Oryzias latipes: one gene and its partners. The protein of the gene in region 2 binds, or shares a complex with, the protein of the main gene of each other region. Links are inferred from orthologs where the notes say so. Each region holds a gene or a part of one and is shown on either strand. Other genes may lie near its edges. The genes, in order: taf8, tbp and taf12.

The links.
Region 1: tbp (region 2) and taf8 share a complex: the UniProt entries of both Homo sapiens proteins name them as parts of the TFIID basal transcription factor complex. The link is inferred for Oryzias latipes from reciprocal best matches to the Homo sapiens genes TBP and TAF8.
Region 3: tbp (region 2) and taf12 share a complex: the UniProt entries of both Homo sapiens proteins name them as parts of the TFIID basal transcription factor complex. The link is inferred for Oryzias latipes from reciprocal best matches to the Homo sapiens genes TBP and TAF12.

The regions. Positions count from the first base shown.
Region 1 is NC_019865.2:25,322,826-25,326,581, reverse strand, and holds the start of taf8 (transcription initiation factor TFIID subunit 8), read right to left. Parts: upstream 2,700-3,756; 5' UTR 2,560-2,699; coding exon 2,512-2,559; intron 1-2,511. UniProt on the Homo sapiens protein: The TFIID basal transcription factor complex plays a major role in the initiation of RNA polymerase II (Pol II)-dependent transcription.
Region 2 is NC_019861.2:24,478,765-24,481,722, reverse strand, and holds the end of tbp (TATA-box-binding protein), read left to right. Parts: intron 1-7; coding exon 8-175; intron 176-652; coding exon 653-747; intron 748-978; coding exon 979-1,058; 3' UTR 1,059-2,302; downstream 2,303-2,958. UniProt on the Homo sapiens protein: The TFIID basal transcription factor complex plays a major role in the initiation of RNA polymerase II (Pol II)-dependent transcription.
Region 3 is NC_019874.2:22,542,559-22,546,314, forward strand, and holds the start of taf12 (transcription initiation factor TFIID subunit 12), read left to right. Parts: upstream 1-1,367; 5' UTR 1,368-1,521; intron 1,522-2,036; 5' UTR 2,037-2,165; coding exon 2,166-2,243; intron 2,244-2,783; coding exon 2,784-2,861; intron 2,862-3,087; coding exon 3,088-3,202; intron 3,203-3,315; coding exon 3,316-3,404; intron 3,405-3,512; coding exon 3,513-3,548; 3' UTR 3,549-3,756. UniProt on the Homo sapiens protein: The TFIID basal transcription factor complex plays a major role in the initiation of RNA polymerase II (Pol II)-dependent transcription.

The DNA of each region.
Region 1 (3,756 bases), on a different chromosome or scaffold from region 2:
AACAATCTTGTCACACCTGAAACCTTCCTTCACCTGTCTTAACCTCCTTGGAATGGGAGGTTCCAAGGGGAAGAGATGAAGAGGGAGCTCTTCGTTTCCTTCCCACACTCTCTGTTGATCTGGACTGTTTGACCCAAAGAACTTAAAGTCCTCCACCTTTACTCCCTGTTCCACTCGAATTCCGCTCCTTCATTCATCTCATTTCCAGAGGAAACCTCCGCCTGCTACCTCTCACTATAGATCATAATGTCATCTGCAAACATCATGATCCACACAGATTCCTGTCCAACCTCATCCGTCAAGACTGTCCATCACCATGGAAACAAGAGGGTGCTCGAAGATGATCCCTGGTGCAGTCCCACCTCCACCTTGAACTCCTCTGTCGTGCCTACAGAACATTTTTTACCAACGTCTTCCAGCTCTCATCCATATCCTGCATAATTCCAACGTTCTTCTGTTCCTCCAGACTCCTCATCCAGACCGCAGCTCCTTTCTCTGTTTTCTGTCATACATTTTCTCTAGATCTACAAAGACACAATGCAGCTCCTTCTGACCTTCTCTGTTCCTCTCCAGAAGCGTCCTAAAAGCAAATGTTGGATCTGTGGTTCTCAGCCTTTGCATGAAACCATACTGTTGCTCACCAATGTTCCTTTCAGCCTAGCTTTCAGCGCCCTGCACATATCTTCACTGTGTGACGTGTCAGTTTCCTTCCTCTGTAGTGTCTACAAAACAGCAGCTCAAATCTAAAGTAAAACTTGTTCGTTTATCATAAACACAACAATGAAAAAAATCTGCAGCAGCTGCTTGTGTTTACAGTTCCTAAGAAATACTTATGCAGATGTTATCACTGAAACGGTCTCCAGACGTTTTGAATTTCATTTCACAGGAAGAGATTTTAATGTTGATGTAAATGATGCGTCATAACACAGACTGACATGTGGGATGCCACAAGGCTCCGTCCTTGGTTCTACACTTTTTAACCTGTACATGCTTCAACTTGGTGATGTCATCAGGAGACACTTGATGACTTGGGACCCACTGATGACCTTTTAAGTTGTTTTTTAGATGTTGAAACTTGGATTGGAGAGAACTTTCTTAAAGCTCAATACAGACAAAACAGACATTTCTTAAATCTTGGCCCTGAAGCTGAGAAGAGAGGGTCCATTTTTCCTTATAAACCCATTACTTATAAACTCAGAAATCTTGGTGGGATTTTTGATGCAGACTGCATTTTTTCATCTTAGAAATATTGTCTGAGTGAGACCCTTTCTCTCCAAAGCCAGCACTGAAATATGAATCCACACTTTTTTAACATCTAAAATAGATTATCTTTATCTTTATTGGCTGCAGCTTGTTCTAAACTCAACTGTGCACCTCTTAAGCAGAGTCAGAAAGAAGGAGCACATTACTGAAATGTTGAAATCTTGCACTGGCTCCCAGGGAGCATAAAGATCCATTTTAAGGTTCTTTTGTTAGTTTCTACAAGTCTCATGCTAATAAAAAAATGGAACTTCAGTTTTAATCAGAACTGCTTTTAGTTGATGACCCTCTCAGAGACCTTAGGTGCAGGTCTGCTGATGGTCCCAAAGGTCAGAACAGAAAGCGAGGCCACATTTCAGCACTGTGGATGTGAGGGCTTCATCCAATGTAGAGGCTTAAGACAGAACTCAAAACTTATCTGTGTAGCTTTCCAAGGAGTTTGGTACATTTCCTCATATTTTATTTTTTATTTTGGAGACTTGTAGATTGTGTATGTGTTAATCAATATTTATTATGTTAATGCTAATTTCATTTCATCTTCTAAACCCGTTAAGACCCTTTCGGAGTCACGGGGCTACAGAGCCCATCCCGGCCACTCGTTGGCGAAGGTAGGGAACATCCTGCACAGGTCGCCAGGAGGAAGCTGGAGTCCCCGGAGAAAACCCACTCATGGACGGGGAGAACATGCGAACTCCAAGCAGAAAGGTCCCGTTCTGTTTCAGGTTCCCACAGCCGGGACTTGAACCAGGGCGCAAGAGTCCTAACCACTGCGCCACCATGCAATTTATGTTAATGATTACCATTATACATTTTTTTCTTTGTATAAAGCACATCGAGGTGTTCTGTAGCAGGAAAAGCGCTCTATAAATAAGGGTGAATTTATATTTTGAATTGCTGTTAGGGCAGTACTAAAGAGTCCAGGAGGGCTCGGAGGTATTAAAGAGAGTTGCAACCTTCAGGAGGTTCAGAAAACTAAAAACCTCATCATCAAGAATAGTCGGCTTAGTTAGCATAGATATACTCCGTCCGAAACAATAGTCTCAACATGAAGAGAATCATTTACAGAGCATGTTGCACAAAAACACTAAAGCTAGCTCAGCTAGTCGTTCAAAACAAAGTGGAGTATAATCGTACTTGTTGCCATTTAACCCAAAATCAACGATGAAACCTTTCCGCATCCAGATGTGGCTGCTAGCAAGCTTTCCGATGCAAACCTGCAGCATTTACGACAAACACAAACGCTTTTCTTACCCCGCTGGAGTTTAACGCGCCTCCCGGCGTCACGGCGGGATCTGCCATTGGAAATAACTTCAAAAATGTCTCCTTTTTAGGTGTGAATTTTTTAAATTAAACAGATTTATTCGCTTAGACACGATAAGCCACCGCTAGTAAATAAGTTGTCCATGTATGACGACACTTCCGTCATTCAGACGGAAACGATTGTGAATGTCTTGAGTTTAGCCGACACTGCCCCCTAACGTCCGTCTACAGTACTGCGATTGTTTACATTGTCATTTTTATCCACTGGCAGATGGAAGAAAAGAAACGGCTTCATGACAAAAACAACATAAAATGCATTCAAATATCTGACTTTTTTTTTGAAAGTGTTAAGTTATCCTGAATAAATGTTATATTTTTTTCCAAAAAATTGAAAAAATAAAGAGAGAAAATATTGTGATTTTCAATTAAAAAACCCATTTTAATTCAGGCTTGTTGCACAGACATCTATTAAGTACCTCAATCACCAAATACTTGATGCCATCAAAGCAAGACTAAAAGAAAAAAGTTTTGTTCAATTTCTCACGATTTTTCAGTGCAGGAGCAGCAAATGTGCCTCTTTAAGTAGACACTATTTTCCTATAATCTGAGTACCAGTGGTTAGCACAACACCATTTTTATTAAAACACACAATAAATTGAATTGCACAATTCCCCTTTCCTTCCCATGGTATTTGATCCATATTAGAATCTGCTGCCCAGCAGCCTGAGGTCACTGTGTCCTGCAGTTTTTAGTGTATCACCACATCTGACATTCTGTTAAAAAAAGGGGCAGAAAACATTTTTACCAAAACTAAAATAAATTAGAAATTCATAAAAATAAAAAGGTCTGCCATTGTCCATTTCCGTTAAAGTGAGAAAGTCTTTTTAGGAAGCATGCAGGCGAGTGGCCGAGCTTCTCCTTGTGACCATGCCCAGATGTTTGGGCTTGACCTCAGGCACCACCACGCTCAGTATGTCCTCAGCTTCAGTGGGGATCTGGACATGGTGGGATTTCAGCAGCAGCCTCTCCCTTCTCTTCTTGTCCATGAAAAGCTCAGCAGTCTGTTTGCCATCAGCAGGGCTGTCCCCAGAAAAGGGCAGGAGAATCATTTCCACCATTCCGCCGACCATTCCCAGCAGGGTCAGAGCAGAGCCCAGCGCGTAGATCTTCACCATGTTCCTGCTGGGCCCCTCCTTCAGAACCTCCTTCATAAATGGTACAATGTCTCCACTGTTT
Region 2 (2,958 bases):
TTTGTAGTGAGGAACAGTCCAGGTTAGCAGCTAGAAAATATGCCCGTGTGGTGCAAAAGCTCGGTTTTCCTGCAAAGTTTTTGGACTTCAAGATTCAAAACATGGTGGGCAGTTGTGATGTCAAGTTTCCCATTCGTCTGGAAGGACTGGTCCTCACACATCAGCAGTTCAGCAGGTAATTTCTCCTTGTTTTACTGCAGATTTAAAGAATCCGTATAAAAATCCCTGAAAGGCTTTTCAAAAATGTGACAGTTTAATCGACTATTGACAGTTATTGATAAGAAAATATGTTGGGACAGCTGTGCTGACACACATGCCAACTTAGGTATTAAACATATATGTTTAACATAAAAGAAAATATTAAGTAAAAAAATAAATCTGAATGGATGACAAATGATATAAATGTACTGAACAAGCACCACAATGATATGTATGCATCAGATTTTATTAATGCTCCAAAACCATCCATTTTTTAAACTGGTTTCCTGCAGTGTCTGTAAATCTGATAAGCAGGTCAGAATTGAACAAAATCCTAAACCACAATCTGACTCACAGACAGAAGTTTGACACTCAGATGGCAAACTATATATTTTTTTTTTATTCTCCTGGTTTTATTTTGCTTTTCTAAAATGAGGTAATATTTGTATTGCAGCTATGAGCCGGAGCTTTTTCCAGGCCTGATTTACAGAATGATCAAACCTAGAATTGTGCTGCTTATCTTTGTTTCTGGGAAGGTGGTACTCACAGGTAAGTTTTCACTAGACTTTTTTGTTTCCTATTGTGAGTAAAACAGGATGTTAACTGTATGTACTTATTGTTTACACTTTTATTTAGCATTTTTCTATTTTTTCTTTGTTCTCCGTGAAGTATTTAGAATTTTGTTGATGTAAAATTGAAGTTCCAAAACAGATTTTTAAATTCTTTTTGATGAGCTTTACCTTCTGTTTTTTAACTTATTGTATTTATTTCTATTTTTAGGTGCCAAGGTGAGAGCAGAAATCTATGAAGCTTTTGAAAACATTTATCCCATCCTGAAAGGATTCCGCAAGACTACGTAGAACTTATAATTCCCTGTTTTCTATCCAAACGCTATAACTTTTTACATTTCTGTCTATTTTTTCTTTAATATTCACTGAGATGTTAACATTTTAATATTGACCTCTTCAAGTTGACAGTAAAGACTTGAATGTGAAAGACTATTTGTCTTTCCCTTAATTTTTTTTTTAACCAAAAAGACATTTTAAAGGTCCTCTGCTCGTTTCCTCATCACAATTGATCTTCACCCGGAACTTTACCTGCTTTTAGCTTTTACATTTTCTTCTCTTCCTCGCTGGCAAGTTTTCTTACATCGAATTGTACGAAAATGTAAAAAGTATTGAAGAAAAAGGCAGGTAGACCGGGACTTTTCCTGGTTTTATTTCAGTGTTTCAGGTTTTGTATATATTGCAAACTGATTTTTTTCTATCTTTACTCGATTTATGAATGATTTCTCCTTATTTTTTGGGTCAACCCCTTGTAAACAATCTTGCCACAAAATCGATTAACTTTTCAAATTTCAAATTAAACTGAAGCCATACTTGTCCCCAGGTTACAGTGAAAGCCCTCATTTTATAACGAATAGAAACCATTTCAATAATTGAGTTATCCGATCCAGACTGTAGTTTGTTCTGCAATAATTTGCCTTTACCAGTCAAAGTCACCCCATGTTTCCATCATTGCTTGAAGCTTTTTATTTTTTATGAAGAAACTGAGCATAATTGTGATATCAGATGTGCTTTATTGTAAAACTTGTACAAATGTATATAACTTATTTTCAATTATTAGTCATTCAAAGTTGATAGGATGTTCCAAAAAGCTTAAAGCAAACAGGAAACTTGGAAAAATGATGTTAACAGGCATTCAAAACAATAATGTTCATTAGTCTGTCTTCAATTTAAATGCACCAAGACAAAGGAGTTTGTTTTTTTCTATAAATCTCTGCAGAGAGTGAGTTAACAGTGTAAATGCTCCTGCTTGTCCTGGTTTTTTTTCTTTCTTTCTTTTTGCAAAACTTTGTTTAGAAAAGTACTTATCACTTTTTGATTTGAGTTTCTGGCACTTGTTGATTTCATTTTCTCGTTAACCAACCTAAGGATTACCTTTCAGAAGCCAAACTTTTAAAATAAGTTTCAACTTAACGTCTGTTCCACTTATTATGGATGTTGTCACCAGAAATCCATTTTCCATTTGGATACCTGTTCCTCCACAACTGTTAGAGCTGTACTGTGCGTTAATAAACGTGTTCATACATCCTGTTCATAAAGCAGAGTTTTGTCTTTGTAACATCTGAGGTTTTTTTTACTTTAAGCAGTGTGTTTGCCACAGACTCATTTATTTATCTGAAACTATCTGGAGGAAATTTTTTGAAGTAAAAAAAACCCCTTCAATTTCTTCAAGTCTAGAAAAGAAACTTGAATCGGTCACATTGGGTGGAAACCTATAGAGTTCATAGGTCATCAGATCCATGACATTCAGTAGTTTTTATACAGTTTTCTGTAAGTATTGTTAAATTGAACACTTTGAAATTTGAGTAACATGGTGGTTCAACAGCACAATATGTAAGGTAAAAGAACCAATGGTTTTCTCTTAGTTCTATTTATAAGCAGTAAAACAGCTGCTGTTATTGGAGATGCATCTGAATGAACGGCCCAAACTGGTCTGTAGTGGCACATGACTTGTATTGGCTAATAAGGTCACGTTTAAAGTTTACTCGGTTGAAGTTGTCATTTCGTGAATTTGAAGATGTTTCCAAACTTTTCCGTTTTGGTGTTTGTTGTATTTGTGGTTTTTGGATTTGTGACAAATTTTCTCCTCAAACATCTAGGTTTTCCATCTTTCAGATAAAGACTGCTTTTCCAAAAAGGTTTATGTTGTAAAAAAAATTTTTTTTTACATTTAGTTTCTCTGTAGTAAAAATAA
Region 3 (3,756 bases), on a different chromosome or scaffold from region 2:
TCCACTCTCTGCTCCAATAATCACGACTGCTCTCTGCGCGTCACGCGTCGCTCAGGGAACCAAACCACTTCTGTTTTAACCTGAGCTTTGCGGGTGTGTTTTTTTTTCTTTCCTTCCTCATAAGAGCCATCATGAAAAAAATGTGTTAACGATGTTTCTCACACTTTTTGGTGCGATGTGGAAAACCTATCAAGCCAACATTTCACGCTTTATTTTATTTCACTGCTCACGGGGGATAAAAAAAATTGTTTTTAGTGTAATCTTAGTTGTTTTTTTTTTAATTAAGACCTTCAGTTATATTAAAATGAAAAAGGGAAAAAAAGAAAAGGGAAAACTCGTTTACATCTAACAAAGACAATGCCTACGATGGCGTATGCTACATCATCTTGCATTATAAAAAAGTTTGTTTAAAAATATATTTCCAATAAAACAACAGCATGGCGTGAAAATAAACACTGAGATGTGAAAGTATACAGAGTATTGAGACGTAAAGAAAATCATAAATATTGGCAACCAGACCAATCTAGATTAATCGATTTGTTTTCCTGTGATTCAACCAGATCGATCTGTCTAAAGCAAATTGGTAAACGAATTGACATCTACCTTTATCAAATTGTTTCTAATAGTCATAGACAACAGACAACACACATGTAATGGCAGCAAAAAATGATCGAGCCGTCATTACAGTCCAATGCTTTGAAACATTTTTCATTTTTTGCAAAGAATTTTGTGACCATAGTAGAATGGTAGAATGTTCTAATATTGTTCAGATTATTTTATTTTGATGTGGAAAAACAGACGTGGGCTGAACTTTATGAAACTAAATTTTGACTGTAGATTTACTATTAATTGTTGTTTACGTGTTTGTTTGTTTGTTTGTTTGTTTGTTTGTTTGTTTGTTTGTTTGTTTGTTTGTTTGTTTGTTTGTTTGTGCACATATTTAATTTACATTTGATTATCTTGCAAGAAATACAACAAGGAATCTGTTCAGTACCGAGTCACACTGGCTGTTTTTTTTTGCTCAATTTTAGGTCAGTGAATTGGATGAAATTGGATGTTTCAAAATGAACCGATATCAACTTTGAATCCTATTAGCAACCACAAATTATGATACAGATCAAATCGTTTTTTAAAATGAATCGTAACACCCTTAATATTTATTATGTTTCCTATCAAAAACTTAAAAAATAACCCACAATCTTTTATAAAGCAACTGAATGACAGGCCATCTAAAAAACAAGCGTTCTCGTTTATTGTATTTATATATTTTATTTTCCGTGCTTCTCCACAGAGGCCGATTTTGTTCACGTGTTATTGAAGTGCCACACACAGTCCGACAGGGGGCAGCGTAGCGTGGACACGGTTCTACCGGAAACAGAATCGGGCAAAAGCGGAAGTTCCGAATATTGCTCCCTGAATTCTGGAACGGTTGTTGCCTGTTCGTAGACAAATTTAGTGTCAAAGACGTACCTTTCCCTCGAAGTAATGACGAAAATGGACAGATAGTGTTAATTTAAAAAGGTGAGTCAATAAAAAGCTGCCACGACTTAGAATTTTGTTTGAGGAACGCCGAACTGAGAAATTAGCTGCTGAATTTAGCAAGGCTAACTTCAAAGCTTTGTAGCTGCTATTGTTTTTAGCACTAACAAATCTGTTAACGTTGGATTCTTATCTGTGTACTAAAGAATTTATGTAATAATGGCATTTGCTTACTTTGTTGTATTTTATTAAATTAGCCTAAAGCCCTTAAGACATCGTGTAGCGTTAAGCTAAGCGCTTTCTGCTGCGCGCGTTTTCCGGTCTCTGTTTTGGAGTAAATAATTAGGGGAAGCAGACATCAGATTTACTAGTTTAATTAAAACATACTTGCATTTTGTATTGGATGCAAACGCTAGTTTTTAGGCTTATTAAATGCTGCTTTAAGCTACATGCAGTTAACCGAAGTAAACTAAATTGGGAGGGAAATGTTTTTGGGAATGGATCATCTTTTTTTCCTAATTTCACTGAAATTTGTACTGTTTTTCTACAAATTTAAGGTTGTGGTTCCTTGAAAAAGCGGTGCTTTCGACTGCCACGCAGGATTTGGGAGAGCCTTACCCGGGCCACCAGCGTCTTGTAACTTAAAGAACTGCTTTGCGCTTCCTCCTTGACCTTGATCACTGAGAATGGCCAATAGCACCCCAATAATAGTGAAGAGCCTGCCTGCTGGTCCTGCAGGTAGAAGCAGCCCAGAAGGATCTCAGGTTGAGTATTTTTCAGTTTTGTATTTAGTATACAGTAAACCCTTGTTTTTCGCGGGGGTTACGTTCCAAAAAGAACCCGTGATAGGCAAAATCCGTGAAGTAGAAACCTTTGTTTTTTCTTACAATGAATTCATTCATTCATTCATTCATTCATTTTTTTGAATGAAGAACACAATGCACGATGCAAATCCGTGAAGTAGCGAAACCGTGAAAAGTAAACCGCGTTATAGCAAGGGATCACTGTAACCACTTTTATGTCCTTATATTTTTATATATAACTTTTGAAATGTATTCTATTTGAGATATTGTTTATATTTTATCTAATGTAAAACTGTTTCATCTATTTGTCTTTTTTTTGCAACAACTACCATGTACGCTTTTGAATTTGATGCTTTGTATTTTGTTTTATTTTTTTACCTGAAAATATTTCTATTGTGTGACTGCAGCTAACAGCTACTTCGGGATACTGTTTAATTGTGAAACACAAACCTTACACTCACATGTGTAAGTGTTACACTTTCTCTTTCCTCTTGTCTTCAGGTCCTCTCTAAGAAGAAACTGCAGGACCTGGTGAGAGAAATTGACCCAAATGAGCAACTGGATGAGGATGTTGAAGAGGTCAGATTAAAAAAATATTGTAACCTCTTATAAAGACTATTAAAAGACATGCCTGTTGTATACCTTATTTAATATTTTCAATGCTTACGTCCGTCCAGCATTTCAAACTGTTACGTAGAAAACATGGATTTTTGTTACATTCATAAATCAGAACATATCTTTATTTGTGTGTAAAATCTTACTTTGTTGAGTTCCTTTGAGGCCTTCATATGTTTTTTCTTCTCAGATGCTTCTACAAATTGCAGATGACTTCATAGAAAGTGTTGTGACAGCAGCCTGTCAGCTGGCACGCCATCGCAAATCAAACACGTTGGAGGTTAAAGACGTTCAGTTACATCTAGGTATGTTTTTTACAGGCTAAATGCCCTTTTATTTTGTACTTTTTGTTTGATAAATATTTAGTGGAAACTAAGGGATTTTTGTCTTATTGTTGTGTTGTTTTTATGTATTTTAGAGCGTCAATGGAACATGTGGATTCCTGGTTATGGCTCTGATGAAATTCGACCGTATAAGAAGGCTTGCACCACAGAAGCTCATAAACAGGTAAACGATAGAGTAATTTTTCTGTTTGTGAAGTCATATTATTGCCGTAATTGTTAATTTTAGTTCCCTTTTCTTGAGTCTAATGCTCCCCATGTGTTTCTTTTTCAGAGAATGGCACTGATCCGCAAGACGACTAAAAAATAAAAGGGCAAGCCCTTAGGTTGAACCCAATTTGTATATTTTCAAATTTTTAACTTTTCTTTTATGCAATTGTTTTCATTTCCACTTGAGTTTGTCATTTTATTTTATTGACAGTAGAAAGCGTTTTGATGAGGTCGTCTGTCTTTGACATTAAATATCGCTCAATTGTAACGTCTCCCTGAATTTGAGTGTGTGGAGTCATTGCACAATG